2 linked regions of the Oryzias latipes genome follow. The protein of the gene in region 2 interacts with the protein of the main gene of each other region in a biochemical or structural test. Links are inferred from orthologs where the notes say so. Each region holds a gene or a part of one and is shown on either strand. Other genes may lie near its edges. The genes, in order: mitogen-activated protein kinase kinase kinase kinase 5 and crkl.

Region 1 (16,681 bases), on a different chromosome or scaffold from region 2:
GTTAAAGTCTTCACTTCCTTGTTCTTAATTCTGCTGATAAAGTCGCTCAGTTCTAACAAAAATACCAGCTAAAGCTCGTCTTTAGCTGGTATTTTTGTCGATCATAACAGACCATGAATTTCTGCTTTTCTTTTTTTTTGGATGCTGGTGTGCCGCAGGATTTTTGTCAGGGTTAAAGTGTGCCGTGGCTCAAAAAAGGTTGAAAAACACTGGTTTAGACCTACATGTTCTAGTGGAATGTTATTGCCAAGTGCCCCTAATGTTTACATACATTTAAGTATTGTTTGTAACTGTGAAATGACCGAAAGGTTGCTACGGTAATCACTTTGTTACTAAGCACCTTTTTTTATTCTGAATGTATGGTATTTTGTTTAGTATTTTTGCTGTCAGTTTACCTTGTTGTTGCATCTTCAAAAGTGCAGAATAAAATGTGACACTGAATTTGAAACAGCAAATTGTAATTTCTGCATCTATTATTAAAATATTTATTAGTAATACAGTGGAAATTAGTATATTTGGTCAGCATGTTGATTTACGGTTATGCGCCCCTATATTTTCTGGTTGTGCCCCTAAAATTTTCAGTTGGGGGCCACAGTGCTCCTAATGAAAAAAGTTAGTCTGGAGCCCTGAAGACACATTGTGAGTCAGGGTGATGGGCACTCAAAATGGAATGAGAAATGCTAAATGTCTCCAACATTTGTTTAAATGTGTTGGAGTGTTTCTCAATCGAAAGACCTTGCGGAGTTTGAAACGTTTACCGCAAAGACAGAGGCACTGTGTAGGCACTGATCAGAATGACCAGATAGAGAAAGTGAACGCCTGCATCAGTGACATCAAGACCTGGATGACAATTAATTACCTCCTCTTGAACCCAGAAAAAACTGAGGTCATTATACTTGGTCCTAAAAACCTCAGAGATGCTCTGTCTGCTCAGATAGTCTCCTTGGATGGCATAAGCATAGCCCCTAATTCCACTGTTAGAAACCTTGGGGTTTTATTTGACCAGGATTTATCATTTAAGGCTCACATATCTCAGGCGTGTAGAACTGCCTTTTTTCACCTGCGGAATATTGCTAAGATCAGAAATATACTTTCTAAGAGTGATGCTGAAAAACTCCATGCATTTGTTACGTCGAGGCTGGATTACTGTAACTCCTTGTTAGCAGCGTGTCCTAAGAGTTCCTTAAAAGGTCTCCAGCTTGTTCAGAACGCAGCAGCTAGATTGTTAGCTGGAACAAGCAGAAGAGATCACATCACTCCTGTGTTAGTTTCGCTCCATTAGCTCCCAGTTGATTCTAGAATCAAGTTCAAGATCCTCCTGTTAACCTATAAGGCCTTACATGGAATGGCCCCGTCCTATATTAAGGATCTCATAGTCCCTTACTATCCAATAAGAACACTTCGTTCGCAAAATGCAGGACTGCTTGTGGTTCCTAGAATTAGTAAAAGTACGGTTGGAGGTAGAGCGTTTAGCCACCAAGCCCCTGTCTTATGGAATAAACTCCCAGCTCATATAAGAGAGGCCGACTCAGTTTCTACATTCAAAGCTAGACTGAAAACATTCCTCTTTGGACAGGCTTATTGTCAGACTACTTAGTATTCAGAGATTATTTAACTTAATGTTAATTTGTTTAAATTAAACTTAATAACTATTTCTTTTAAAAGGCTGCTAGAAGTTGAAGCTGGGGTAACTATGGTGCACTGGGGTTCTGTCCTCTTTTCTTTTCTACTTCTACCCTTCCTCTCCTCTATTCTTGACCATAATTTATCATTTAGTTCTCCATGCCTCTGTTTGGTACAGTGCGATTCATGTATTGTCCCTCTTTTCTTCTCCCCTCCTGGGGAGTGGGAGTGCTTCCAGACTCCAGTTGGTTCATCCGTGCTCCAGTTCCTGACAGTTTACCTCGCCTTTGCTCGCGCTCCTACACCTGGCTGTGGATCCTGCCTCTGGCTCATCTCTGGCTCGTCTCTGCTCTGTGCCTGACCGAGTACCTCGTCTCTGCTCCTGCTCCTACACCTGGCTGTGGATCCTGCCTCTGGCTCATCTCTGGCTCGTCTCTGCTCTGTACCTGACCGAGTACCTCGTCTCTGCTCCTGCTCCTACACCTGGCTGTGGTTCCTGTCTCTGGCTCGACTCGCGCCTTTGACTGTCCCCCCAACCACGGCTGGATGAAGCTCGTCTGCTGGACTTTTACATATGTAGTTGAAGATTTAGATAAGTTAATTCTTCTCTTTGATTTCTGGCAAATCGCCTGTCCGTCCTGGGGGAGGATCCCTCCTTCATGTGGGCACCCCTGAGGTTTCTTCGTTTTTCCGGAATCCGTTTTTTTGGGAGTTTTTCCTTTCCGGGAAGGGGCGTCTAAGGGCAGGGATGCCAGTATAGCTTAGTCAGTTTGTTAGTTCATTTTAGTATTTTACTATTGGACTCTTTGTATTCACGATCCTTTTGAGTTCGTGTTCCACTTCGAAGCCCATCGAGACGACTGTTGTTGTGATTTTGGGCTATACAAATAAAATTGAATTGAATTGAATTGATCAGCTGCAGATCTTCTGGATTATCTCCATATAGCTCATTAATGACACAACACCATACTTCTTATACATTTTAACCCTTGAAACTGTCCTACTCCCCTGTCAGTCTGTGCTGCTTTCCCACGAGGCTTACCTGCTTCCCTCGCAATTCTTTCCTACTCCCCCTGTGGATCTGTCCTACCCTGCTGTGTTTAGGACCTAACATCAAAACTGCTTGTTTGTCCTTATAGACCTACAGTAGGTAGGATTATCTGATAACATAGGACATTTAAAAAGCTATATCTATAATTTTGTGCTATGGGTAGGAAAATCTCACAAGGTAGGACAGATCATTAGAACAGTGGCATTGTGGTAGGAGAAATCCGCTGCTGTCTGTTGTTTATATTGCAGTCTTGAGTAATATAGGAATATCTTGAGTTCAGAGATGCTACCAGTGTTTTGTTTTTATATATAGGCCTCAGTGAGCACATTTTTGACATGATGTGTGAGTTTGTTTTAAAGTACTTTGTATATGTTGTAACCCTTGTGCTATCCTAGGCACTTTAACATTGGGAGTTGGGTCATCTAGACCCACTAGACAGTGCGCTGAACCTTTTTTCTTCAATGATTTGTTATCTTCACTGGTGTCCATGGATTACATGAAATCTTTCCACCTTTATCCACCTTTATCATGGTAGGGAGAACACGTCAATGTAAGGGTGGGGTCATCTAAGATAGCACAAGGGTTGATAAATGAATGCTGTTAAGCTTTTCTAAAAAACCTTTAAGCTTTTATCTTGTTATCTTGTCTCCCCCCCCCCCACACACACTTTTTACTGAACCGAAAAATGATCCGAACCATGACTCTAAGGCTACGTTCACACTGCAGGGCTTAATGCTCAATTCGGATTTTTTGAAAAAATCCGAATTTTTTGCAAGACCGTTCACATTTCCAAGTAAATCCGAACTTTTTTGCTCTCCAGTGTGACCGTGACACGACCCAAAACTGACCCGCATGCGCAGAAGAGTACTCAACGGTGAACGACGTCACTCGTTGTTTGCGGAGCAAACGTGAACAATGGATGTCAACAACAGTGTCGTCAACAGTGGAGCTCTTTTGCAAATCGTCTGTACCCACTGTAGTAGAATGAGGATGTGTTCGGGCCGCACGCGCCGTAGAGACAGGAGAAGAGCGTGTGCAGCGATGGAGAATGGGGGGGAGCAGTGTGGACGCGCATTCAGGTTGTGTGTTACGGAGGAAGTAGAACGGTAATAGAAGAAGGTTTCCCCCAGAATAAATGCTATTGATTCTTTATTAACCCGCTCTGGAGAATCCTGGAGAATTTAAGGGTCAGAACAGGGAGGAGGAAGAGGATCCGCCTTGGGTCCCCCGCGCTTCTGACCACGGTCGGAAAGGGGAGAAAGAAAAAGAAAAAAGTAATCGCGGGAAATGTTCAACACCACGCTCGGCCAGATTTAGCTGGAAATTTTTCCAAAAACCGCCCGGTTGCGATAAGAGCCCTGGAGTTTGGCCTGAATAGAGCTGTCACCCCAAAGATTTATCCAATCGGGGACATCGCATCCCTTCCACCGACTGGTCTCAGCAGCATCGTCTGCCATGGTTGTTGTTTATGTTTCGTTCCCGCCTACTTCAACGCACAATGATGACGTTTGTTGCGTATCGATGACCTATGGTTCGGAATCAAGCCGCCTGGCCGGTCAGACGGCGGTCGCAATTGAAAAGATCGGATACGTTTCGGATTCAGGACGGCATACCCAAGTGGCCTGGGTAGTAATTGAAAAGATCGGATCTGTGTCGTTCAGACTGTCATAAAAAGATCGGAATCGGGTTGCATAGGGGCAAAAAAAATCGGAATTGGGTCGTTTCAGCCTGCAGTGTGAACGTAGCCTAAAACAGTAACACTATCTGAACCGTGAGTTTTGTGTTACATTGCACCCCTAATAATAAACATTTAAAGTTGTTGTAATGCACTGATTGGTACTTTGTTGATGACTTATGCTGTCCTATCTAAATGTGGTACAGTCTGCTATGAAGCAGGACAAGACTTTTATAAAAAATATAAAAAAGTTGTTTATGATGAATAAAAAGTGTCAATTTTATATGCATTTTCAGCTTTTTTGTTGTTGTTTCTTTTTGTTTTTGTGTCTATTCCTGATTGCTGTGTTTCAGTTTCCCTTTTGGAATCAAAGGAACAATAACCGGTAGCATAATAGATTTACGTCTGGGTTAAGGTGGAGGCTGTTATTTGTGGTCATAAGACCTGTTTACTGAGTCTACCACATTTAGGTGGAGGAGGCCGTTGGTTGACAGCTGAGCTGTGTCTCATGAAAAGAAATTTCTTTCAGTTGAGGTTAAAACTTTGGTGCGGTTTGTAAAGTACTTTATATCAGTGGTACCCAACCTTTATTAGCCCACGTACCGGTTATTATCAGAAAATATTTTCACGGATTAGTCCGAACAAGGTCAAAGTTGGCATTTAATCATTTTTAAGTTCCTTGTTTCTGAAATATATATTTTTCAAATTAAAATGCTATAACATTAAATTTAGTTTAAAAAGACAATTTGAAACTGTCTGCAGATACTTTACAGATGAAGATTAGATGAAACAAAGATGTTGATTTGTAGAAGTTGTTTTTGATTTGTAAAATTCAGTAAAGGCAATTAAAGGTAATTATTATTATTATTTTTTTTCCTAGCATGCCGTTATGACACTCAATACAGGCTCGGCTTTTTTTCATGACTAAAAGATTAATCTTTTTTTTTTTTTTTTAATAAATTTTAATTCATTGTGTTCATTAAAATTCTTAAATGTCCCTTTTACGAGTTTCCACAAATCAGCAACTTTATTTATTGAATCTTTATTCTCTGTAAGATATTTGCAGCTGGTGTACACTAAGACTTGGTGTAGAACCCATTATAATGTCCTGTAGACTTTCCCTTAAACCTCAAAGTAGAGGCTATAACAACTGGACGCCAACTTAATTTGTGTCCGACTTTTAAGGTGTGATGAATAAATAAAGCAAAATAAAACGACCCTACTGTCATAAAGCAGGTATATTTAAATATTTTGAAGGCAAATCCAATGTGTTTGAAACTTTATCATCGGCGTATGAGTAACAGTCAGTGGCCACATAAATGCAATGTGTGCTTGGTACAAGGGAACAACTGTCCAAATAAATCCATACTCGGAGGAAGACTCCTGTTTTTGACTGTAAATAGCAGATTTCTCTATTAAAGGTCAAATACTCCATTTTCTCAACTGCTTTTTTTAATAGCTTTTTTAGTTATGGCCTTTTCATTTAGTGGCACGAGCATTAGCAGCTTTAAGAAGGTAGTGGATGTATTTAAGACACGTGACCAAGGCGAACAACTTGACATGCGTCAAGTGCTTTGACTGTACATGAGGATATACAGTCAATGGTCAAGAGTAAGTCGTAGAGGGATGTGGTGGACAGAATTTGATAGTTTTCCAAAATAAAACTTCCTTCAGAATCAGAAATTAAAAAAATAATTCAAAGTAGCATACAGGATTTATTCTTTTTTTTGTCAGTGGCCAGTGCAAAATGACCCATGGGCCAGTACCAGTCTGATGCTTGGAGGTCAGGGACCACTGCCATATAACCCTTGGCCTTCAGTGCAATGATTCTGTTCTATTGTTTTTATTTATTCATTTATTTGTTTATTGATTTACTTACTTACTTATAAAATATTTTTTAGGGTCTTATTTATATTAGATGTCCCCAACAGCAGTAGGCGTGTTGTAGGCTACAAAGTCTGCAGCATAGCTGCACATGCTTCTGTCGGTGCACCACTTCCAGCTTCCACACTACAGCACAACTATTTCCTGAATTCTCATGAAGCTTTCTGCAGATTCTTCTGTTAACCAGATGATGCATTAAAGCATTTCTCTGAACTAAAGCTGCACTTCTTTTTACAGGTGCTTTTCTTTCTTACCGGCATTCTTACCATATTTAACACCTTCATTTGCACCTGTCTAAAAGTTATAGCTCATTAAAAAAAAAAAAAAACTGGTTGTTGCTTGTTAACAGGATGTGATGGGTGCCCCCCTATGAACAGGATATGAACAGGAAGCCGAAAAGGGAGCTCCAAGCTTGAGTGACTTTTCTTGCAGTGCTGCAACACACACACACACACGTTGTTTCAGTGGGTGTAAAGATGAGACTGAAACCACTGCAGAAAAACCCCAATCGCAGTTGTACAGTGACAAGTCAGACATCTGCAAGCACTGACTCTCCTAAAGGCTGCCGTACGTGTTCACTCACGCAAAAATCTGGTACGCGTGAAGCTGTCGGTTTAGCTTGAGATCAACTGACTTTTCTTCTGCAAAATGCAAAACATGCGACTGTGCAAACGGCAGTATTCTGTGCGTTGGTGATCTATAGAAGTGCTAAATGCAAACAAAACAGGAAACAAAGTTCAATTATGCAAAATAGCTGCGAAAATATGTCTGAGAGAGAGAAAAGGAAGGTGTGCGATTGAAGTAAGGGAGGATCTGCGAGAGTGACTGAGAGAACCAGGAAGACGTGCGAGACTGGAGCTGAGCCAAGCACCAGTCATACTCAACATAAGGGCTCTCGTTTTGCAGCTCCTGGAGCTCTTTCTTCATAACTCGCCTCTGCTGAGTGGTCGTCGGTCTTAGATGGAGTGTGTGAACGTGTGAGGGGTTGTTTGACATGCCCAAGGGGGGGTTTTAGTGAGAAACAACATGGATTTCCATCACAGGGCAGCTCTGGATATCTCCACCAAGAACCCTCAAGATGATTTTGAGATCCTTTTAAGAGTTGGAGGTGGAACCTATGGTGAAGTCTACAAGGTCAGAGTCCCTGCTGCTTTTTATTGTCTTTGCAACACACACAAAAATGTAAATTAGATAATAATCTGAGAAACTATGGCTGGAGGGAAGGCTGTGTTTAAGTATAGACTTAACCCAGTAAAATGGTTTAAATGGGGAATATTCTAGACTGATACAATCTCCAGTCTGGCTTTTTTTTTTTTACTTCTTTTAGTTTTCTACTAAAACTACTTCTACTTTTAGTTTTATTCTAATTTGAAATGAAATAGGATGAGATTAGTTTTAGTTTCATTGTCATATTGCAGCTGCTTCTTTACTGCAGCTTACTCTGTCAGAGGAAGTGATTCGTAACATGAACTGAAAGTATTTATATCTCTTTTTTTTGCCTTAAAATAGTTTTTTGCCTTTGCCGAAAAAGACATCAATCTACTATTAAATGTCAGATTTGTTGAAGGTAGTGAAACTGTATTTTTCTGTGGAAAAGTGAAGTTGTAGTTGAAGCAGGGAAAATTGTACTTCCAGAAAGAGTTACACTCATGTAAGGCCTCAGGGGGTGTTTGTAGAGCAATTGTTCTGATCTATAGATGGGAAGGATTGTATTTGTTTAGGACCCACTTGGTCCACACCAAGCATTTGGCTTGTTAATAGATCCAGATTTCACACGTAAAATCGAAAACTTCCAGTTGAAAGTTGCTTTATAAAAAATCAGATCCATTATCTTCAACTGTGAAAATGTCCTCAATGTGGGTCAGTCTTACCAAGCATTCTGTAGTCCAGAGGTGGGCACTGAGGGCCGCATTCCTGCATGTTTTCCAGCATACCCTGCTCTGGCATGTTCTAATTGGATGGACACACCTGAACCAGGTAATCAGCCATGAGTAGGGCAAGACTATCTGGAAATCATGCAGACACACCGGCCCTCGAGGCCTGGAATTGCCCACCCCTGCTGTAGTCCAAGAATCTTTTTATCTATCAACTTCTAAACATTTTTGTTGGGTTATCCATATATTGTCAGCTGGTTTTGAATCTGCCTGCGGTGGATTGGCGATGTGTTCACGGTGTACCTCCCCTTTGTCAAGTACTGGGATAGGCTCCAGCACCTCAATGATCCCTAAAAGGATTAAGTGAGTTTAGAAAATGGATGGATGGTTTTGACTCTGTTTATTTGTGAAGTTCGTAAAAAGTAAAAAGAAAAAAAACAAATTGTTCTGAGTCTTAAAGTAAATGTAAAAATACATTAAAAAAAAGATTGTCTAAGAAAAATTATCTTTTTATGTAGCAAATAATCATAGTTTAAGAAAACAGTGACTAAAAAATGTTTTTTCTTAAGATTTTTGTGCTTTATTGATAGAAAATCTGCCAATTGGGTAAAAATGTTTGACTTATTTTTTAGGGGCCTGTTTTTGCAGTGCAGTCAGCAGTTAAACAGGTTTTTCCTATTTATTATGAATGTGCAGAGGCTATAGCAGACTCATACAAGCGCTCACAGGCCAAAGTGCTCCATAATGCTTCACCAGTACAACTGAACACATTTTGGTATAGAAAAAGAAAGTCAAACGTAGACGTGTCCAGAATATTGTTGGCTATGGATTTATTTGGACATTTCTTCTTCTAACATACATATTGTTTGTTGTAAAGCATCTGGAAAGAAACTGGTGATTTGATGACGTACATTAGTTTGTTTTTTGGAGTTTGGTCACGTCTTCCATTGCCTCTGGAAGATTGGCGCCAATGCTTGGCAGCGAAGCCGCCATCAGTGCGTGAATGTTTGAATGGGACTGAGACTGTACACTGCTTTGGACCTGAATAGGAAGTCCATGAGTAATACTACTAACCGTCTTGTTTTCAATTAGTTTAAAGACCCAGTCCGGTCATCTTTTGGTCTATTTTCAAAGCGTTCTCAGTGGTCTTTTAATTATGATTATGCATTTTTTAGCCAACATTTTAAAAAACTCTTCCGTTTTCTAGGACAGTTTCTGCAGAGCAACAGGAGTTAATTTGAAATTCACCTCAGAGTTATTGGCGGGACCATAGACGGAGAGCAACCCTGCCCCCATTCCTGTAACCTATGAATGAGACCTTTCTATTTACCTAACATTAGCAGTACAACAAAAATTGCGAGCAATATTGGATCAGTCCAGTTGTACAGTTTTGAGCCAGATTGCAGTTTAGAGGAAAAAGAAGACGTACATAAAAGCTTGTGGCCTGCCCAGTGTACTGTCTAGGTCACAAAAACAATCTTTTTTCAAGCGACATAACTTAGCCTTCACCATGATTTTAATAAAGAAATACTTAGATATGGAATTTTGAGAAGTATGTCCTCCATCATGGGTAAAATGCTACAAGAACACCAAAAGCACAATTTTTTATCAGGGTGGGTTTTTTAATTAACTCTACCACTTTGTGTTTAAACCTGGTCTTCATTGGAGGAAAGGTTACAAGATTCAGAATTTGAGAAAGGTTTGATGGTTGAATAGAACCGATATTGACACATTGACATTGGTAACAGAGAAGAGCCAATAAAGTAAAGGCAACATCTCTCTGCTGCTGCTGAAAATGTGCAAATACCATTTGATAGTTCATCTTTGCAAATTTCTGGGATAACTTTTAAGTATATTTTTGTCCAGTTGAGACCTAAACATTTCAATTTTTTTTAACAAAAAGCTTGAATTTGTATAACAAGTTAAAAATATGAAATTACCTTTCAGGAGCTTTCAGATTGAAATGGTTTTTCAGAGATACAGAGCAGTTTCCCAGTTGACCAATCCTGTCCACACATGACTGGATTTTATTGTTTAGTTTTTACTGGAATGTAAAAAGTAGCCTTTGCTTCTTGTGCAGACACGCACACTGATCAATGCATATGCAGTTGCACCCCCACACACAGCACTGCATGCTGCTCGCCACGTGTTGTTTTTCTCTCAAATTTAGCAAAGGTTCCTGCTCTAAATGCCACACTTCTACATCAGCAGCAGTCCTTAGAGTGCAGCTCTTTCATTTAAACCTTGTTTTAGTGATTAAAGCAGCAGATGTTTTCTACTGAAGGATGAGTAACAAACTCCACTCATAACTCAGCAGACCACTGATGATTTGCAGATACTGATACTTAAAATCCTCAGAACGCTTAAGATTGTATTGTATTTAGAGAACGATGAAAGAATATTGTTCAATTGTATGTGCAAAAGCAGTTATTGATCTCTTTAACAACAACTGAAGCTGTACATGAAGTAGCTTTTTCACGTTCTCTACAGTTTCTAAAAAACACTCAAAACACTTCAGAAAACAACAAATTATTTGAATAAACAAATCCTGTAAATGATTATTTATGAACATAGAAGTTTGCGGGTGTTTTGTCTTGGTTAAAAGATTTTTGTCCATATGTAGGGCCATAAGGACCTGTAACTGTACATGAAGCAAGTTAGCGTTTCAGAAGAATTTTGCTTTTCTGTGTTTAAATATTATCAATGGTTTCTCGTCAAATTTATTTACAATTGTTGAGAAATAATGTGATATTTTATAATCGCATGATGGCATGAAATCTTTATGAAGTCTTAAGCTGACTACTGTGGGTCAGATGACCCTGCTTCAGCTAAAGACATCTCTGGTTGTACCATTATTTGAACATTGGAGCTCTGAAGCTACATATACACTGGTTATTTGACACCCAAGAATCTGCGTTTAGCCCATTGTGTTTACGGTGGACAAGTAGAGAGGGGCTGTTTTCTAGCATATCTCCACCACCTATAGTCAGAAGAGGCATGGTGCCAAATGCCAAAGCGGTACAGATCTGGTGAATTTTGCTCCAGGCTTTTTCTTTCAAAGTTACATTCCATTAAATGAAAAACTTTGGTGTTGTAGAATTTCAAATTGGCAGGAAAAACACAATTATTAATGTCTCCTCTATAATTAATATTCAAACGGTTGGCACCTCCATGAATTAGAAAAGACACTACACACGTTTCACTAACAAATCCGAGTCCATGATTGGTCAAAGTTTGATCTGGTTTAGCTTTTAACGTACGTTCAGTAGCTGTACGTCTTGCACGTGGAGCAAAACCGGTTGTGAGCGTAGTCATAAAAACTTCCCTAGGCGTGTGAATGTGAGTTTTGAGCATGGATGGCCGAAACACGCATTTACACACCTTTACACGCCTTTACATAGACTTCATCTGAAGTGGTTGCTTGAATGCGCATTGCTGAGGGCAGTGTTAACGTTATTTTGGGTTTTTTAGGTAGTGGCTGTTGTCATCTGTCAGTCCGTTGGTGGCAGCTCCAGAAAAGCATTTGAAACCCTGTTCAGGATCTACAAACACCCTGAGGATATTAATAAAGCGGTCACATCAGACCACATATATTTCCATCAACTAAAATGAGACCGAGAACAAGTAGATGGCACATGCAGATGTACTAATGTTGCTGTTTTTCTTATTTTGAGTCTATTTACTGAAGATGCAGACAATGATGTGGCCAATATTTAACCACATCTGTCCAAGCATTTTAGCAAACATGGATTTTATAATCAACTACTGGACATCAGAAATTCCTGTCAGTGGACTAAAAAGAATGTTATTCTTTTTCTTTCAGTTTTAAACTGACCATAAATTAGAGCATTTGGAGAATTTCTTGGTGCTAAATTGTTCTCGTCTTGAATTTTCTTCTGTGTTCAGTGTTGATAGTAATCTGTTGAATGTATCCAGGTAAGCATTTTACAAAGTGAGCGTTTGATATGAAGGATTATCACACACCCATTCTAATAAAAATTGTGTTTTTGGTGTTTTTTTTTTTTAAATGTTCTTGTAGCATTTCTCTCATGATGGAGGAGGTTTATAAAAAATGTAAGATTAAGACAGTGTTTCTGAGTATTTGTTTATTCGAATTGGGATGAATCAGGTGCAGACGAAAAGATGTTTGAAAAAGCTCACAGTTGTGACGTAGAAACTGAAATAAACGAGCCAAGGTTTCCCTGCTCTGCTCCAAGTCTGATATATCTCACATGTCTTCGATCCGGTTCTCCGAGTCCCTAAACCCCATGATTAAGGGGGGGAATTCTGTATACTAAAATCCAAGAAGTTCGATAGAAATTTTCTCTAGAGTTGTGGGTGGGAAGGTTGGCGCAGAGCAACCCTGGCCCCCTTACCATCACTGTTCTGTGTACGCTCTGTCCTGCTAGCTTACAGCCCCTCACACCCTCAACCTAACATTAGCAGTGCAAATAAACAAGCGAGCAATATTGGAGCTATCCAGCCGTACGGTTATGCACCAGGTGCCAGTTCAGACGAGAATGGTGTCGTACATGGATCTAGTCATCTACAAGTGTCTGCATCAGAGTGGAGTGAAGGAGGATGGTTGTGGCCCGCCGATTGTATTTTCTATGTCACAAATACAAACTTTTTCCAACTGCATTTTTTTTCATCTTCTCCTGGTTTGAATAAAGAAATACTCAGAAATGCAATTGTAATCTTAATTTACTTAATAAATGTGTCCCGCATCATGTGAAAAATGCCACAAGAACATGTTGAAAACGCAAAATTCATCGGAGTGGTTTTTTAGATAACAAAACATTCCTATTTATGTCAGTTTTTCTGCTTAATGATCTATATGATTTTAAAATTACCTTGTGCAATTTTAAGATGTTAAACGGCAGATTGGCATCCAAACAGCTGACATAGTTTCCATGCCAAGTTGCTTTTCAACATTTAGTTGCCCTGATCTTCACGTCCATCACACGACTATGGTTTAGTGGTTTCAGTTTCTCTAAAACCTACACATCATATTAGGAATCTGGGTGTTATCATGAACTCTGACTTAAGCTCTTACAGTTCCAATAAAATGTAAGGATTTTCCCTTTAAACACAATAGCAGAATCAAACACATTTTGTCTAAACCAGACCTAGACTAACTTATTCAGGTTAATTCAGATTAATGGTCTCTTCTCTGGACTCTGCAAATGTGCTGTAAGGCAGTTCAACCAGAACACAGTTGTTTGGGTCCTGAAAACCAGGAAGTACGACCATATCAGTCTTTGTCCTCACATCTTTGAACTTAACTTCCTGTTGCTTGGGCCATAGACATCAAAGCTGATCTGCTTTTGCTCGAGTCTTTTTGTGGTTTAACACCAAAGTATGTTGCTGACACGTGGTCCCACATGAACCACCTTGGACCCTGAGAAACTCAGACCTTCTGCTGTGCCCCAAATCACTAAAATGTTCAAAAGCAGAAGCTTTAAAAATGCAGTTTGAAAAAGATTGTATTTGTGACACACATCACATATGCTGGTGGGCTTGTCTGAGCTGGCATCTGGGTCAAAACTGGACGGCTGGATTGCTCCAATGTTGCTCGCCGTTTTTGTTGCACCGATAACGCTAGGTTGGGGGTGTGAGGGGCTGTAAGCTAGCAGGGGGAGTGTGTAAACAGAGAACTCTCAGCAATAGGTAGGGGAAGATGAGAGGGTGTTGCTCAGCACAAGCGGTGCCACCCACAACTCAGAGGTATATTTCTGAGCTACTGCCGCTCTGCAGAAACTATGTCCTAGAAAGCCACACAGGTTTTTAGATTTTTGGCTAAAAACTGCCTAATCATAACTAAAAGACCACAGCAAACGCTTTGAAAATAGATCAAGTCTTTAAGAGCTTACAGTTATTGCTGTTAAGATGTTTTTCCTGCAAAACAAATCTAGTACCAGGATGGCACATTTATAACAAAAAAAAAAGCTGTAGGTCAGAAATCCTGCACACACGCTGCTTTTTATCCATTCTGCAAACCGCTTTGCTGTATCATTTGTTTAGTAAAACTTAAAAGAACAGAAATATTTTTACAAGTAAATGAAAAACATGTTGAAACTTTTGCTTGAGATTTTAAGATTCTGCATTGTCCAATATTTTCGTTAAATGTGTGCAGATTTTAAGTAATTTCATCTTATGAATTAACATGTCTTAACAATTTTTTAAACTCCATACAAGTGCATAATAGAATTTTAAATCATTGACTAATGCGTTCCTTTTATGCTGCTTCTTGTAACTATTGTAAAAAACTGCTTCATAGGTATTTTTTTTTGTTGTGTGAAAACTTCTTTTAGTTATTAACCAAAAAAAGGTTTGGAAATTGAAAAAATACACTGGCATTGAAGGAAATCTGATAAATTACATCCTGAATCAAATTATTTCTGGACTTTGGTTGTGATATTGCATTTAATGAACACATTTTAGCTGTGCACTGATGCTCATTCAGTCAGGCTTGGTACATTCCCTGAATATGTTTAGAATGATAAGAAGAAGAAGTTGGGTGGTGTTAAATATTTTATTTTGAACGGAACCTTTCCCTCTATTGTTTAGTCTCCTATCTCGGAAAAGATGATGTTGTCTTTTTAGGGCATAATCTGATACCTTTTGGGTTTACAGAGTAAATATAACCTAGCAGTAGAAGAGTTTTCACCCTTCTTTCTGGACACCATGGTCAGGTTTTAAGTTAAAACTTTAAGCAAACTACCTTTTACAACATATAAGTAGAACAATTTTTTCTTAAAGAAAGGAGATGAAGTTCACAGATAAACAAGTCCGTGTCTTGGATGGAATTTCAAAGATGCACGCAGAGAGATTTTATTTTTGCAGTTCAAAAACCAGCCAGGGCAGATTCTTTTTGTCTGTTCTTATTTGTTCCAACTCCCACGTGATCTTTTGGAGAGGTCTTTGCGTTGACATTTCCAGAAAAGAACATTTTCTTACTAGCCAAACCAGTTATGAAGACTTAACTTCCTAATTTCTTGTGGTGCATGAACTGAGCAGAAAGCAAAAACCCTGATGGGTTTGTGGCTGGTGGGGCTTTGATGTGAAACTATTCCTATTTTGCCCCTCCTTTAGCAAACCTTTAAAGACTTTTTGATTTTTCTATTGAAGATTATAAAGGAGTCTGCCCTTGAGCTTTATTAATTAGGTTTATTTCCTAGCACCTTTTATATCTACAACACAAATCGCTTTACTTCATGTGTCAAGATAAAGATAGGGTGGAGATTACAGTGATTTTTCACTATAACACAGGTAAACCTTTTGCAATTTAACCTATTTTTATTAGTGCAATTTTGCATACTTTTTTTTACAGCATATGTGGTTCTGCATCCTGATTGGCTATAAACTACTGTCAATCAATCTACTCTCCTGTCTCCTGTTCAGAATCGCAAATTCTGTAACTGTATAAATCTGGCCCTTTTTATCTATGAAGGTTGGAAGTTTAAACGAGAGAAACATGGGAAAAAGTTCATGTCTGTCCAAGAAAAGTGTGAAGGGAAATTCAAACTAAGGATGAATACTTCACATTTTTCACCAATCATGGGTTACCTTGAGGAAACCGTGTACTTTAGTTAGTTTGGTTCATTTATCTTTTAGGCTGGTATTTTATTTTTGCAAAGATAAGTGTTCTAAGTATGTTCATCGAAAAAGACAAAGAGATAAGCACCTCAAAGTAGGGCTCGGCGATATGGCCTAAAAATTCTTATTAAACTCATTTAATTCACACGGAATGAAAAAGGATTCACAAAGTGAGCAGATCAACAAGGTCCCGAGTTACTTTCGGCTGGAAAGACGAAAGGCAAAAACAAAAAAATCAAAATGAACATTGGACTTAAGCAAAACTGGAATATTCTTCCACTCGTGCTTCACTGACTCCGATTTTGTTTTTTTTATTCGATTTCCGATCCCCCCCCCCACACACACACACACTTAAGGAAAGCAATAAGTACAAACGGCAGACAACTTAAAGCAAATTTTGTTTTTATTTAATCAAACGCAAGACAAATGTAACCACCCCATTTCTGGGATGAATAAATAAATGAACACACTCTTGGAATCAAAGTCCCAGCTGTGTTTTAAGTCACACTTTGTAGTCTAGACTAAAGGTAGACAAACATTCACCTTGAGAGTAGCACCATTTTCCAAAGGATTACTAATACAGTTCATATCTGGGATCAAAGTTTTAATTAAATTAACAAACCCCGTCTTCTCCACGGTATATATGGGTACCATGTCTTTGGCCATATGCAAAGCGACCGCTTCGGTCGCTTTTCTCCACCGTGCCCCTTTCGTATGGATTGGGTACCGCGCCCCGGTATTGAACGAGCCCCGGGGCAACGTTCTTCAAGACCGCAGTAACCGTAAGACCTGACCTCAACGGTTCTGCTATCGGTACTGGACAAGTTGCACTAATTTTAATTTTATAAAGTAGAGCTGTGACGGTGTGGGATTTTTGATCACCGTGGTGATGAAGCAGCAGGAGTCGCGGTCAACCGCACCCCGCATGGCCCCCCGCCCGCGCCACCGCCAAACACAAAATCCCCCAGGCGGCCG
Region 2 (16,719 bases):
CACTGGAGTTACAATCACCCGCCATCTACAGGAATACATCGATTAGCTAGAAGGACAATTTAACCCAGGATGTATGGATTATTGGCCTCACTCAGCCTCATCACATAAACGCAGGCCAAGTCAAATGAAATCCCACCTACTTGTATTCAGATTCCATCACCTGTTCCCTCCTTTTTTTTCCATCCCAAAGTTGTTTACGTGGCCGTCTTCGGTCCAGGTCGACCCCTTTTCCTTTGACCTGGTTCTGGCTAAAGCTGGTGAGGGAATGCTAATCTACAATACTGATACATGAGGGGAGGAGCGGAGCGTGAAACTGTTTATTGGATTGTTTGCAGACTGCCGGCATTTGATGATGTTTTTGAATTGGTCCTTTAGGTCTCAAATAATGACACCAAGATGAGAAACTTTGTGTTCTGGTTGCCAGGAATAGCAGAAAAGTTCCTAAAAATGTGTCACAACAAATCAATGTTCCTGTAGAAAGGCAGTCATAACAGAGGGAGGAGGAAGGAATCACTTTAATTTATACATAGTTTTAAATAGTCCAAGAGGAATAGAATTAGCTGAAAAGTGCTGAACACACGGAAACTGCCCTTCAAAAGTTTTTCTGTTCCGCATCTCTTCGGGGTCAGCTGACGTTCTTTTCTTAGCACTTCATTAAAATGCATTAATTGCTTCCCTTCTCCTGGGCGCAGCAGACTCCAGAAGTGGAGCTGTCGGAAAACAGAGGGGCCGCCCCGCGGCGCGCTCCACAAACGGGCCCCGCCCCCTCCTCCTGCCCCGCGGACAGACGAGGAACGCGGTTTAAAGAAGTAGACGTAAATTTTATTTACTTGCTCTGTACATACAGGGTCAATACCGGCAGAGGTAAGAACCATGGGAAATATTAACACATGTTACATAGTGTAAGAAATTAAAAAGGCACAATTTTCAATTCTGAAGTACAAGACAGGTTTTCCTAAAATAGAAGAACAGTAATACTGTTAATGCCAATACAAAACAAAACAAAAAATCAGAAGCAAGACCAGAAATATGGAAATAAAAATAAAAACTAAGTTGTATTGCTTAATTAGAATTCATTAAATCCTGACAAACAGAACCCAGCTAGGATGAAAAAAAAAAGATAAATCTTTTATTTAATGAAGAGATAAATTTTAAAAAGCAGCATTTGACCAACTCCCCGGCCAAGAGGTCATGCACAGAGGCAACCAGCAGGCATTTGGAATTCCCTTTATTTGATTTTTTTAATGTCCTTTTTGATTTTTAACAATAGTCATTTTGAAATAATCCACTTAAAAGCAGGACAAAAAAAAAACACATGAAACAGAAAAGAAAAACAACTTAAGCTGCACAACTTGAGTGAACGGCTAAGGAGGAGGAGGAGGAAGGGGGCATTATGGCAGAATTAGGAGTTTTCATGGTTTTTTGGACGTAAATAAAACCGGACCAAATGTTTAAAGAGGTTAACACTTAAAGTCAAGATGAAACGCTAAACCATATCTTTTGTTTCGATAGTAGTCAGATGTTTTTGGCAAATACATTGCTATTTGAAATCTTATTCAAATTGGCACTCCTATGCGGCGTGTTCAAAGTCTTTTAGAGCTGAAAGCCGTTAGCACGAAGAACTTTATAACCTTTAAGCTTTATCGGTAAAGAAGAAGGAAAAAAAGAAAGAAAAATCATCAGACGCCATCGGTACCGACAGAATTCAGAGTCCGCCCTCCAACAGACGAAGAGGAAGAGGTTGATCTTATGGCACCGATCAGATGAACCGCCACCCCGGCCGTGCCACGCCCCATCAGGAAGGTGGAGGCAGAAACCATTGGAAGAATCCGACCAATGATGTGTGCGTGTCTGCGGATGGCTCCGCTTCAACGGCGACTAGAAGGATTGGAGAAATAATGGCTGGCTTGTTCCTCATCGATTTTGTTTCCTACCAAATCCAGATTATTTTCCATATCTTGATTTTTCAAAAGCATGGTCTAAATTGTTAAAAACTACACATGGACGTTTCCATACAACTTTCAGTCTGATGCACTGTCATGTGGAAATAAAAAGAGACTGATGAAGAGGAGGAGATAAACTGCCCAGCCTGGAACTAAAACCTGAAAACGGGAGCTGAGGAAGGAGGGTCACATTTGAGACCACAGCTGTAAACTCTTTAAAAGCCCGGTGACAGCTGGCTAACCCCCCGCCCCACATCAAGCAGACAAGCTCGTTACTGTGACGCTGGCGGGACAGGTGGGGCATCCAGGGTCGCGTCAGTCCCCCTCGTCCGGGTTCAGCGGGTCTACGATTTTGACATGAGTGAAGGGAAAGTGCCCCCTGCGTCCGTTCACCTCGCCCTCCCACTGACCGCTGATGTTCATCCGTAGAACTTTGACCATGTCGCCGACCTGTGAGGAGAGAGAAGCAACCAATGACTACGCTGCAAGACCTCCACGTCCACCTCAGTTGGGCTTGATCACATGACATAAGTACAAAAGAAGCGCTTTAAAAGTGTTATCAGCCGATATCCCAAAAGACAGCATAACCAGCAAGAAATTGTTACTTTAAATGTTTACATACATGCAAGACAATCTCATGGCAGCTTGAAGTTTCTAACAAATCAAATAAATCCCATTTGACCAATCGGATGAACCCGCACGGCGTTGATCTTTAGACATATTCCTTTAAACCGGGGGGGGGGGTCCAAACTCATTTTCACCGAGGGCCACGTCAGCAGAGTGGCTGTCCTCAAAGGGCCAGATATGACTTATACATGTAACTAAATGTAATGTAACTTAATGTCAAATGACTCATTTGTTTATTATAACTTTTTAAAGTGACAATTACAGTTGCATAGAAAACATGTTTGCTTGTTACTCTAACATAAATCCTTTTACATTTGATTCTGTCAGGTTAGGTTATATGGACAGTGTTTAAGCCTTAATGTATAGTTACCCAATCTGATATTTCAAGTTCAATTCCCCCTAGATATGAATAAATGCACTCCAATTTCTATTTATTATTCTACGAAATTAAAAACTTTTATGCTCTCGCGGGCCACATAAAATGACATGGAGGGCCACATTTGGCCCCCAGGCCTTGAGTTTGACACATGTGCTTTAGTTTTGGGTGTGACGGTAACCGTATCACCGCGGTGATGAGATGATCGCTGCGTTGATGACTCATCACTGCACGTTCCTCTTTTTTAAATTCTTTTTTGAAAGTTCTGCATATGGTGCGTGATTTGAACTATGATAAACACATTCACACATTCATCTTTGCTAATTATTAACTTTTTCTGCGAGTTCTGTGTTCAAACTTCAAGGTCTTCTGGGGGAATTTCCATTGTATTCATTTCCATTACAACTTGCATTCTTGAGTGTGCGACGCGGCCGCCCGCCAGAGGATTTTGTGTTTTTTGGGGGGGCAAGAGTCCCAACACCATGACTCGTGCTGCTCATCACCGCGGTGATCAAAAATCCCAAACCGTCACAGCTCTAGCTTTAGGGGGTGGCCACAGCCAATCAGTTTTCTCTACTTAGCACAGGTGGTTTGTCAAAGAGTTTGCCCTTCCAGACACAACCCTGTATTTTATCTGGGCTGGGGACAGGCACAGGGAGACCGTTGACCAATCGAATGGAGCTTTATTGTGTTCATTTTTCTCACAACATGCAGCCCTGGTGACAACATTAAAGGGAAACTGAAAGTTTGAACACATCCCCTCTTTAGCTTTAGCATCATTTAGCTACACCCGGTCCCACAGTCCAAATTATGAACATAGGAGCATAGAAATAAAAGGACAGGTTAACAACAAAGACATAAAGCTGGAATAAGAAGAATGAAACTAAAGCTTTAGCCTGAAAAACTGTCAAGCTACGCTCACACTGCCCTCTGCAACAAACATTCAAGTGGCCTCATCCAATGAAAAGTCAATGGAAATGTGCGTAAATCCACATCTGGGCTTCCGTGAGCAAAAATCACGCATAGCTACGCAATATTTTTGAGACCGCTTTCAGGCTCCACATACGTGCGGGCGGCCATTGAAGGTAAAACAACGTCGAACTTCGGCCAATCAGGGATTCGGATTTGGCAGTGACGTATTGGATGGCGTCCCGTTTAAGTCAAGGAAGTGCCAAACTGTTCATGCCCAACAAACCTCTTCCAACTTTAGGTTGCGGATAAGTGCTAGTAAACAGTTGAAAAAGTAGCCCCTCCCTGCTTGTCAAGTGTGAATGCCGTGGGTTAAAAGCATGTCACATGTCCGTGGCATCAAACGACAAAAACCAAACAAAAAAATCCATCCAATCATCTTACTTCAAAGAAACGAAGTTCAGTTCTACATGCTTTGTGCAGTTTCCCCTAACGTGAGCAACAAGACAATAATGACACAAAAAAAAATGTTATTAGGCTGCGAGCTATGACTTCTTCCCAAAACAGAGGCTGATGGGAGGAAAGACATGATGCAACAGAATAAGGTATGTGCTGTCAGAACTAAACAAGTAGGAGATAAATGAGTCAAACTGAAAGGAAAACACAGAAAAGCTTCATGTTCGGATTCTCGTTAGCTGCTGTGCAGCTTAAGGCAAAAATAACAGAGGCTGGAGAGTTTGTATACAGCAGAGTGAATAAAAGGGGTTGGGTCAGCACATGTGACCCACTTCCAAAGAGATGGCGACAGATTTAAGGTATATTCTACACACACAAGTTTCATGTGTTAACCATCTGAGGAAAAAATAGTCAAAACGGCAACATTTAAAAACATCAGTGGAGATTTAGTTTCATTACTATTCTATTTTGCATTGTCATTTCAATAAAGTTCCTTAGAAAAATCTAAATGTAAAGCAGCCTAGTTTTTTGAAACACTATCTTTTTGTTGTTGTTGCTAAAACCCAAACTGATAAAACTCACAACTGTAGCTAATAAACTTAACCCAAACCTTTAGCTCATAATTAATTGCCTTCATTAAGACACAGGACTTAAAAACTTCATTCAAGATCATGTATTACCAATGCTGATAAAATAGACAAGCCAGGGGGTGACGAAAACATCCCCTCCCCCAACAAGGTAAGAAAATAGGGCAAAAATGTCACAGTTGGGGCAAAGGAAGCCCCAGTTTACAGTAGAAAAAAAAATGTACAAGTTTACACTTTATTCATTTCAAATTTTTTTTTTTTTTTTAAATAGTGTAATCTAGGAATGGAATACTTTGTTGCTCCTGAAAAAAAAGCTTCCTTGATGGAGATAGAAATTGACGCAAACTGTTGATTTCCTTCCACACTCATTTCCAGCTTCCTTCTGGGAGCTCTCACACACTCGCTGCCCTGTTTGGTTCCCCGTCTTCATGTGTTTTTCATCAACTGACCTAACATTGGTGCCGACTGTGTTGCTGCCTCTATTTTGCATTTGTCTATTTATAAGAGCTGACACCAATACACAAGCTGCCACCACTGGTTCAAAACTTCTCTCTACTCCTCCTTTCTTATTGCTTCCAAAAATATAATGATAAAAAGAGCAAATAGCTGAAGCTTTTTAGCACACAAAAAGCCCTAAAATAAACCCAAAAAAGAGCCATTTTTATCAAAGTTTTTTAAAGTGGGTAAGACGTTTGTTAGTTTGGGTAAAATTATAGATGGAGAATAAAATCGAAATTCACCCCAAAAAAAACTGTTTTTTTGTTAAAAGGGCTTTTCTACAGAGTTGAATTGTCACTTGTGCATCACCCTGCCTTCAGTTTTAGCATGGTTGTCGTTTATTAAGCCTAGTAAACGACTTGGAGAGTGGGACCTAAAAGTCTCACCCTCCAAATTAAAGAGGGAGACTTTGACCTTTGACGTGAGGGGCAAGACGGGCAGGAGCCAGAGGGCAGAAATGGGACAGGCCTATATCAAGTGCTCCATCTTTTACAAACCTTTAGGCAACAATCTGTGTCCATGTCATGACCATATTTCAAACTAGTCTATGAAGGACTTTCTGAACTATTCTATACAACCATGGATTTGGTTCTGTTTCTGCAGGTCAACGACATTGAGCATCTTTACATGCTGAATAAATTATCAGACAATGGTTATTTGACCTTAAACAGTTACGATTAGAAAATTCTGGCCAAAATGTTATAGTACAATATGAAAAGTGTATATGTGGAAAGTAACAGAACTACAAAACAGGCAACACATTTTTGCTGTGAAGCATTTGGACTTCATAAGGGGAAAAAATGGTTGTTTCTCTGGGAAATATTAGGAATTTTTCCTTCATTTCAATGGCGTGTGCAATTCTGAAATCACATAAGCATATGTTCATGTAAGAAAATCCATTTCTGAGAGAGAATTCTACAAGTCTGACTTATGCCATTTCCACGATTACATCAAAAATCGTGTTAATCGCGTAAATAGTTCAAGAGTTACGATGGTCAAAAGAATGTCAACACTGGACCACTCCAGGATTTCAAAGTCCTCCCAGGTAGCCTCCGCCATGCTCCATTTTCACACAACATTTTACCATCAAAGCAATTTTAATATAAAGTTAAATAAATGTTCAGAAAGTGACTAAATCAACCGCAGGCACCATCTTATTTCTTATTCTATCAGAGAATTCTAAAGAAAACCACATGAAGATCCAACCAATCAGAAAGCTTCCAAGCTTCTGTTGTAATTCTCACCACATTATTTCTGCGGTAAACAGAACAACAGGTCGACAGCAGGTCATGAGTTAATAGCCAACGGTGATACAAACAGGAGTTTCACACAACAAGAGGTGTAGAGCATAAAATAGATCTCCTTTACAGTTTTATTGGCTATAAACAAAGATATTGATTGTAACTATGTGGTGGGAGTTTTCTGCATGTTACATAAACAACAGTTACAAAATAGTTCCATTGAGAAGGCTGGAGACGTTATCAGAACGTGTTTAATCTACTGCTTGTGTCTTTATTCAGTACTTCCAGTTTCGGATTTTTATTTGTTCATGCTTCCATTAAAAATACAGTGTTCAAAATCAACATGATTATTAAATGCTGACACATTTTAATATGAGCAATAGGCTAAATTAACATTTAGCTAACTTCCGTGTTGGACTATTTTCCCCCTCCGAGAAATCACCACTGATCTATTTCCTAAGTAGTTTTTCAAATGTTTATCACTTTCTGCTAAGTGAGACAAAAATCTACATCATAAAACAGTTGAAACTGAATATATTCTACTAGAAGTGTGGTCCAGGACTGTGTGTTAATACTGAGAAACACTTTAGATAAGCTCCAAGCTCATCTACAACTTAACTTTTTGACAGGTCTACACAGTAGCTCCCTTTTTTAAGATGCAGACCAAAATACCCCAAGATAACCAAAGCCTTTGCCACAACTTCAACTTTTGTTCCTGTTCAGAGAAAACAATCGAAGACATAAGCATGTTACACCTGACCTTCAAATCTAGCAAAACCACTGATGTGATAGACATGAATAGACAACAGCTGTCTCAGGGTGTCCATATTTTCAGACTACCCTCATCAGAAAAGAAATTTGTATACAACCACACACACTTCTTGAATAAATCTTCACACAATGACCCGATAAACCCATCATTTTAACTCAATGGTGGTCCTGTCTATTTGAACGTGATTTTTTGCTGTTGTCAATCCTAAAAAAGTGACTGGCTTCATGACAAACAGATGAATTCGGGGTGTATTTTCCCACAAGTCTCTTTAAATCTGAAAATTTTAAAAAACTCTCCCCAAGTAAATTTTTGGTGATGCAAAAGGACAGAGTATTTACATATAGAAAGACAGATAAGAAGGATTGAACTTACCTCTAGAGCAAGGGCAGTTTTGTCGTAGGCACAGGGCACACGCTTCTGAATGGCCTTTGCCAACACAGGACCATTCTGCATGGAGGGCAACGGGGCAATGACTGCTCCGGGTGTGCCGGGGGGCATGGGGGGAGAGGTCTGGGGCTGGGCATAGGCGTTAACAAGGGAGTGGGATGGCTCCGGGATACCGTAGCTGTTGGAGTTGCGCGAGCCGTGGGAAGGCTGGCCAGGATGGGGGGAGGGTCGTACCAATTTCTCCACGTAGGGCACGGGGATCATCCCGACGCGTCCATCTTTATTTTTGGCACTCCACCATTGTTCCTCTGGCTTTTCCAAAATGATAAGGATCTCCCCTTTCTTGAATGGAAGGTCCTCCGCGTCACTACCAGTGAAGTCATATAGTGTCCGCACGTACTCAAAGTTATCCTCTGGACCAATCATAGACTGGACCGGACCACCAATAGTGCTTGGGTACCTGAAAAGATATGACCCAACTGAAATGTTTTGCGTAGAAGAGTGTATCAATGGTTCCTTGTTAACCCTTTAATAGACATGAAACAACACATGCTCTTCAAACTACTGTAACTCTTGGACCATTTACCCAAGTAACAAAATTCCAACAGATTCTACAGTTGAGAAAACTGGCTAAAAATGCACTGATGCTTGCACTATACATGCATCAGTTTGTAGTGAAGTGTGCAGATAATAAGTGCATTATTGTTATCTTTTCCATTAGTATGATCTCCTTTAGAGATTAAACGTTAGTTCTTGGTCACGTACTATGTTAAAAAGTGCGACTTAAACTCCAGTGTGACTAATAGATGATTTCCCCCCTTCCTTATGATGTATTGTTTAGCTGCTGCAACTTATAGTTCAGAACATATGTTAATTGCCTAAACGGTTGAAGAGTTACTGTAATTCAAGACCATCAACACAGCAGCTAAAGTTACGGTGTCAAAGGGTTAAGAAAGGTATCATCTGCATGAAGTGCACTAATGCCTTGGTGTGTAAGAGTGTGTAAAAACACTAGAATACACACGCAAATGTACTATACCCTACAGGGGTGTAACGATCAATTGCCTTAAATGATTTCCAGATCGATTTATCTGTTGTTAATAGAATTGATCTATACCATTATTAAATTATTTCAAAATGACCTTCAAATCGATACAGGAAAATACCATTTGGATTGTTTATTTTTCTATAACGTAAAAACGACCTTGAGAGAGGACAACAAACGTGATAGCGGCAAAATAAATAAATAAATAAAATAAAAAAAGATCAGTCCATCGTTCCAGTTCAATTTAAGGAACTACTATGAATTTAGCTAAGACGTCACCATTCAGTGTGGTAGAATGTTCTAAAAATGGCCTTTGTATTATTCTTATGTGGAAAAACAAAAGTGGGCTGAACTTTGTTAGACTAAAATACATTTGCCATTAATTGTTGTTTACTTGTTTGTTTGTTTGTACACATATTTAATTTACACCTGATTATCTTCCAAGAAAGACAGGGAATCTGGAAGATTTCACCTGCACTGTTGAGTATCCAAGTATTTATCTCTGAGTCGAACTGGTTGAAATTTTGGCGAAATATGTCATGGTGGATTGATTTCAGGTCAGTGGATGATCGGATCATTCAAAATGAATCAATATCGACTATGAATCGGGTTGGCAACTATGAATTATGATACAAATCGAACTGTTACACCCCCTAATGTCACACACAGTTGTGTACAGATCAGGCTAGTTATTCATGAACATCTTAGCTAATGTTAAAACAAACTCAACAGGAACTGTCCAATAACATGCTAATTCAACGACATATTTGCTGAGGAATAACAGAACAGAAAGTGGTCGTCTACCGGGATGCTGGAAGACGTCACGATCGTACCTGGATGCTGGTTCTATTAGCGTTGTTGTGTCCAGGTAATGGATTTTGTAGAACTCCAGAAGGGCTGGGAGGTTTTCGAACTCTTGATCTCCTATCTTGAACCTCTTACTGGGCAAAGAGTTGATGATATAGTGAGATACTTTGGAGTTTTCGGACACCGACAGCACGTAGTCCCCGGGACAGGTGGACGAGTCTCGCACCAGAAACATGCCGTGTCTCTGCCCCTGTAACCTGTTCTGCGCCTCCTGTCGCGACACTGGTCCGAAATACCAGGCCGAGCGATCAGACGAGTCAAATCGGGACGCGGACATTTTAAAAAAAATCTTTAAAAAATAAGTTAATATAAAGAAGAAAATGAGAACTATTGAATAAGTTAGATTCAAACGGGCCTATCGCATCCAGCTGCAGTACTTGGCAGATGCGGGGTAGGGCGTTCGTCGCCCGAGGACCCGATTAAAACAAATAAACAAAAGATCAACCTGACGTTTTCAGCGACAGGCTGCGACCGACCTGCTGATCCAGCCCGGGAGCATAATGTGACGAGCAGCTAACGGCCCCGAAACGGACGAACATCGACGGAAACTGAAGCAACAAATGATCAATAAAGCTTCCTCTCGTTGTTCCGCCTTCCGCGAAAACTCACAATTATTTAGCTTCAGTTCAGTCAGTGTCAGTTACGAGAACGGAAAGGGTGGCCTCAGGCGCGTTCCATCTCCATGTTTGCAACTAAAAACAAAAATTGTGACAGCGTAGAGAAAGAAAATACCGACTCTGTATCCTCTTGGTGTCACAAAAAGGCGGACGTCACGGAATTGGGGTGTTTAACTCCCCTTTCTCGGGTCGGAGTAGACTTTTGAGGGGGGGAAAAATGGCGGCTCGCAACACGTCTTCACACCAAAAAATGATATGACGGCCGCCGCGTGTCTGCTGCGCTCCAGTTCTCGCGTGCATTCCTCGAGTGCCCGCGAGAGATCCAGGCGTGCCGGTTCCGTGCGATATCCGTTCTCTAATTTCAGCGGGTCCCGCTTGTTTCAGCCAGCAGAAAGCGCAAGCAGGACACGGGAAAAATGGCGACGGGAGGGCTGGTCCCGCTTTCTATCTGCACGTCACGGAGGGGAGCAGGAGAGGAAGGGGTGGGGCCGTGGGCGGAGGAAAAGGTGGGCGAGTGATGACGTTTCTGGCGGGCCCACTTTGATGTGTCACTGTTGTCATTTCATGTCCCTTGCTTTTATTATTGTGAGTAAAAAAAAAGTGTGTTCATTAATTTGTTTCGGATGCCCTTGTCTATATATTCTGTAAAACTGTTCATTTTCAATAAAGTTTTCTTTTTTAATGTGCCGGTTTAAGTTTTCTTTTCTTTTTCTTCCTATTCCATTTTAGACCTGACAAAACACCAACCAAAAGATGTGCGGCCAAATTTTCAATGATCGCACGGCTAATAAACAAAAGGGAATCGTGTGAAGCAGGAGTTCCTCCATTTAACCACCATGAGCAGGGCCAGAGCTACAGGGGGGCAGAAGGGGGCAGTTGCCCCCAACCAATTTTTGAAACAGTATTATTATTTTCACAAAGATTAAGAAATCATTAATGCAAGCTTTGTTAGTAATGGCACCTCAGCAAAAAAAAAAAATGCAGTGTTGTTATTAATAACAATAATAAAACTATGAAACATGGTTAACCCTTTCATTTGTAATGGCCTTCCTCTCTGCTTATCACATTTGCCACCCAATTAAAGTCTACTGCCCCCCCATATGAAATGTTTTAAATCCACCACTGATCATAGACTAGGCTACTATTCTGAAGTAAATAAGAGAGAAAAAATAACTTAATAAAACCAAACTACTCAAATATTGTGTGAGAAATGTCACAGTATACCAGGGGTCTGCAACCTTTGGGCTGATTTTTCTCTGACGTAAACCTGGCAGGAGCTTCAGTAGAAAAGTACATCAGTGCTTTGTGTTTGTTACTGTTATTTTTATGCTAAATAGAAGTGAACCATTGTTTTTGTTGGTTTTAGCCTGAATTCATCCATCCATGCATTTCCTAAACCTGCTGAATCCCTTTCAGGTTCAGGGAGTTGCTGAATTTGTCAGAGATTTTAAAGCAAAAATTTTTAGCTACACTTTCAAAACTCCTTATATCTTAGTGCTTAGATATTTTTTATGGCTGATACCTCTGCAGATGTGTAGCTTTATAATAGACTGAGATATAGACTCGCTAAAATGAAAAAGCCCGTTTTCTCTGTTAAGTATCTCTAAAGGAGAAAAAAGCATGTTTCTCTTATTTCATTTCCTGATGTTTCTTAACTTCCCCTTTCACTCGATCTTAATGTATATATGGTCTGGAATTGGACGGTGACACACTAATAGTAAACTGCTACTTGACTCAATAAGAAATACAACGGAAGGGAAAAAAAAGAGTTTTTAAAATGCAAAAGGCTGTGCCACATAAAAATCCTCCCTGACAAAACACAATAGTGGATTCATTTGACAGGCAAAACTCTGCAGCAGGGCTGCTACTTCTGCTCTGTGATGAAAGTAAAACACACAAAGAGGTAGCTCTGTGCTTGTGGTTTCAGCGGCTATGCCTTGTGAGGCTACAGATCAAGACAGTGAACCTCTCATCAGAGCGCCACTGCCAGAATACAAACGCTGGTCTGACCAACCGATTCATGCCAGTTCCCAGATTTCAGGGAAAATAAGCAACGAGGCAACTAATCTGTCACGGCGAAGGCAAGAAAAACAACTTAGAAACTGGCTGGTATTTTTTTAGAAACATCCTGATGCAGGACCTTTGGGCAAACCCCAGTGCTAGTTCCTTTTTTTGATGCTTCAGATCTTTTAGTTTCATTTAAATACCTAGTTGTTGTTTTTTTAATCATAAATCACCTAAATTTAAAAAGAAAAGCAAATCTGGTTGGCATTTAAAAAAAGGATTGAAACCTAGGATGTGTATTGATTATGGCCTATTATAGATTTGAGCAGTGTTTACTTTAGAAACATCTCCACCTAGTGGACGCTCTAAGAATGACATAAACACAAAATGAAAATTATTTTTAAGGTTGTTTGTGAATGCAGATATTTTGACCAAAGTAAGGAAAACTATGTGTGTTGGAAAATTAACAAAAAAAAAACATCTAAGTGGGACAAAAATATACCAAAAAAAGCAACATTCAACCAAAACGTGTTTTATTTTTAATATGTGGAGCAAAAAAGCAAAAAAAAATTTTTTAAAAACTTTTAGAAACACCTATTTTTATTGTATATTTTTGAACTCGTTCTAAAATGTGTTATATTTTGTGTTACACACCTTATGCTCACTTTGAACACACTTGTATTCATTAGTTTTACCAACAATTATGAAAGGAACAAACACTTGCTTGCTGTGGTTTGTAACCAAACTGTTTGTCTTTAGAGATCACACACTTTTCTCTGAAATGTTCAATCCCATTAGTTTAAAGCATAATGAACAATTAACAGCAACCTATTAGCTGCCTGGTTATTATGAGTTTCACATCCACTCTAGTTTTGTACAAAGAATAGAAAGGTAAGACAGCGTGTGAAGCGACTTTTTCTAACTTTTTGTACCATAGAATGAAGACACCACTGCTTTTTCTTTTCTTAAACTCCACTTTTTGCAGACTACTCACAAAACACACTCAGATTTAATCATTGCAATTTTAGATTAACAACCTAAAAAGGCAAACAGAGAGTGAACAAAGAATTGCAGTACAGTAACTATGCTTGTTTTATTCATTTGACCGAAAACCTTTGTGGCTTTTAAGGAGTTGGAAGGACATGGAAAACATTTTTGGCTACTATTTAGGCGTCAGGAATTCAGGTCCTAAAAAAGAAAAAGAGAAAACCTAAACCTGTGTAAACTTCATCTTAGACCTGGGGTCTGCAGCCTTTAACAGAAAAAAAAGGGTTTGTTTTCCACTAGTCTTCTTTTACCCTTTAGGACAATTTGAAACTGGTTTGCATTCATTTTGTGTGTTATTTTTTAAAATAATATATATGAATTATACTTCTGTTTGACATGAATAAAAACAGAAATATACAAAGCAACTGTGTTTTTCTGTGTAAATTGGGTTTACTTTTGATGGTATTTTATATTTATTCTTATTTTTACATTTCTATTTTCATCAGCCAGAGGGCCACAATAAACCAATTATAAAAGAAAAATGATGTGATGTGTTTTTTGTCTTTGTTACGACTGCGGCCTGTCTCCACTGCAGCTCGACTGCCCACCAAGGGGCCCTGAAGTCCCAGCATTTGGAATTGGGTTGTTTTAACTCTTGTGTTATCTTAGATGACCCCACCCTTACATTGACGTGTTCTCCCTACCATGACAAAGGTGGATAAAGGTGGAAAGATTTCATGTAATCCATGGACACCAGTGAAGATCACAAATCATTGAAGAAAAAAGGTTCAGAGCACTGTCTAGTGGGTCTAGATGGCCCAACTCCCAATGGTAAAGTGCCTATGATAGCACAAGGGTTAAAGACTGGTGCTCTACACAGCTGTGGCCTTAGGGTGCAGAAGTGGATTGGACATGTTTACCAGCTTACACCCTGACATGTCAAAGCTAGTACAGCTGATCTACGAATTCCATAAATGGAAGGAGCAGATCACGTCGCTTCCTACTGATTTGTCTGGGTGAGACAACCCAAAATAGAAAAAAAAACAGAAAACATTTCTGTGGTGTAAATGCTTCTTTAATTAGCTTTAAAGCTTCTGAAAAGAGCGCCGCGTTGGTTTGGAAAGTGTCAGGACAGCGTTCTTTTCAGGCGATCTCTGTGCAAACCCTGCGCCTTCCTCTGTCTATCGCTGATGTTGGAGCCCAGGCTCCGCTTGAAGGCTGGTAAAACCAGCCTCGTTGGAAAGGGTTCCGACCTGAGATATAAATAAATAAATAAATAAATAAAAGAAAGGTCTGATATGAACCACAATGGAACAGCCTGCTCCACACAGATGAAGGATAAAAAAAGCAGTTTCAATCAGAGCAGCACTCACATTTTCCCTGGAAAAAAACTGATGACCATGTTTGGGTAATTTCCTCTCCTCAAAAGAGTTACTGCAACATAGAAGGTTAAATATTTGATGACTTCACACTCCTGGAGTGTGGGAGCGTTTGCGCGGTGAGAGAGACTGCGGCGGATTTGCAGAGGCTGTAGGGAAGCGATGAGGAGCCCCCTTCACGTGTCCGCCGCCGTCTGGCCCAGGGGATCCCAAAACTCTGCGGCGTTTTCAAGAGCAAAAAATATCAGTGATCATAGCAGAACTTTCCTTATGAACTTCAGTAAGTCTTCTGTCCAACAGACTGATTTTACTTTCTACATGAGGTTATGAATCTTCTGACACACAAGGTGTATATTTATATAAACCCCTCTTGTGATTTAGGCTAAACTTTATTTCTATTAATTATATTTGTATCCGTTTTTTGTTGGACCGGACAGAAAAGAAGAAGAGCAGAGAAAACAGAGGGATGTCAGAGGGGGGGAGGGGGTAAGGGCACAAAAGAAAGGGAGAAAAAAGAGGGGAGTTACAGAAATAGGAGGACGATTACAGAAAAAAGAGGAGCAGAATCATACAGCAATGAAGTTTAGATTCATTATTGTCTGGTGTAAATGTTTTTCTAAAAGGGGCGGGGCCTGTCCACACACCAAAACGTTACGATACCACCACAGTTCACACGCATACAAACCGACACATGTAAAGCATTTCATTCAGTCACGCAAACTATTTGTGCAAAGGTGAGCTGACACCTGTGCTCGACTGAGTGTTTATGTTCTGCTGGGGTGGACCCCAGGCACGAGCCAGGAACGCCCCCAAGGGAGACCCACCCCACGCTCCAGGTAGCCACCCGCCCTGCGGGAGGTTCAGTAGAGAGCAAGCCCAAGAGGAGGAAGCCCAAATAAAGTGGGGGTCCCCCGAAGAGCGTCGTAAAAATGGCCCGACCAGGTTCACCCACTGAAATTCAGGAGAGGCCCAGCGCTCGAGGGCAAGGACCAGAACCAGCACCAGAGGGACACGGAGACCTCCACTCAGGGATGAGAGGGCTGCCGAGCCCAGGAAGCCAGCACCCAAGTGTGTTACACATGTATCACACGAGGAAGAGGAACTTCTAACATTTTTAGTGTCTATTCCAGGATGTTTTAATATTCTGCTGGGTTGCATAACATTTTAACCCTTGTTATGACCCCACCCTTACATTGACGTGTTCTCCCTACCATGACAAAGGTGGATAAAGGTAGAAAGATTTCATGTAATCCATGGACACAAGTGAAGATTACAAATCATTAAAGAAAAAAGGTTCAGGGCACTGTCTAGTGGGTCTAGATGACCCAACTCCCAACGTTCAAGTGCCTAGGATGGCACAAGGGTTAAAGTGCTGCTCTGATCATCTTTTGATCTATTGTAAAAGTGTTCCCAGTGGTCTTTTATGCTGTTTTTAGCCAAAATTAAAAATCCTGTTTCATATTCTAGTCCATAGTTTCTGCAGAGCAACAGGAGTTCAATAGAAATTCACTTCTGAAGTTGTAAGCAAGACTGCATCCATTTCCCATCATCCTTTTTACTACACGCTCTGCTGTTTACACACGCTAGCGGTGCGGGCAGTCCAGATACTTCCTGGAAGGGGCGGGTCCTCACTTTGGGACATCACAACGTGAGGATCCACTTGTTTTCGTGGGTTGGGAGGGGCTGGTGCTCAGAGTGCAAGTTTTTTAAAGAAATACTCAGAAATGCATGAATGGATGAAGATAGTGCTTTGGGGTTGTTTATAATGAACATTATAACACACTTACAAGCTCAGCAAGTTGACTTTACACAATTAGGCCCTTTAACATTTTTCAAAGTCCCAACACTACAATCACGCTGCGTTCAATTTGATCTCACTTTATGGAGGAACATTGAGCCCTCACTTTATGTCAGGCTGCTTTGGACTCCATGTGTCACAGGGAAAAACACGACGAACTGTTCTCTTCCATCTTCCATTTGCTCGTGTTTTAGCCCATCGTGTCGTATTTGTGTTTTTGCTAACA

The links.
Region 1: the proteins of crkl (region 2) and mitogen-activated protein kinase kinase kinase kinase 5 form a complex in vitro, tested with the Homo sapiens proteins (2 studies listed by BioGRID). The link is inferred for Oryzias latipes from reciprocal best matches to the Homo sapiens genes CRKL and MAP4K1.

The regions. Positions count from the first base shown.
Region 1 is NC_019871.2:4,810,419-4,827,099, forward strand, and holds the start of mitogen-activated protein kinase kinase kinase kinase 5, read left to right. Parts: upstream 1-6,971; 5' UTR 6,972-7,259; coding exon 7,260-7,367; intron 7,368-16,681. UniProt on the Homo sapiens protein: Serine/threonine-protein kinase, which plays a role in the response to environmental stress. Appears to act upstream of the JUN N-terminal pathway.
Region 2 is NC_019870.2:17,496,918-17,513,636, reverse strand, and holds crkl (crk-like protein), read right to left. Parts: upstream 10,784-16,719; 5' UTR 9,986-10,783; coding exon 9,675-9,985; intron 8,257-9,674; coding exon 7,782-8,256; intron 2,394-7,781; coding exon 2,259-2,393; 3' UTR 801-2,258; downstream 1-800. UniProt on the Homo sapiens protein: May mediate the transduction of intracellular signals.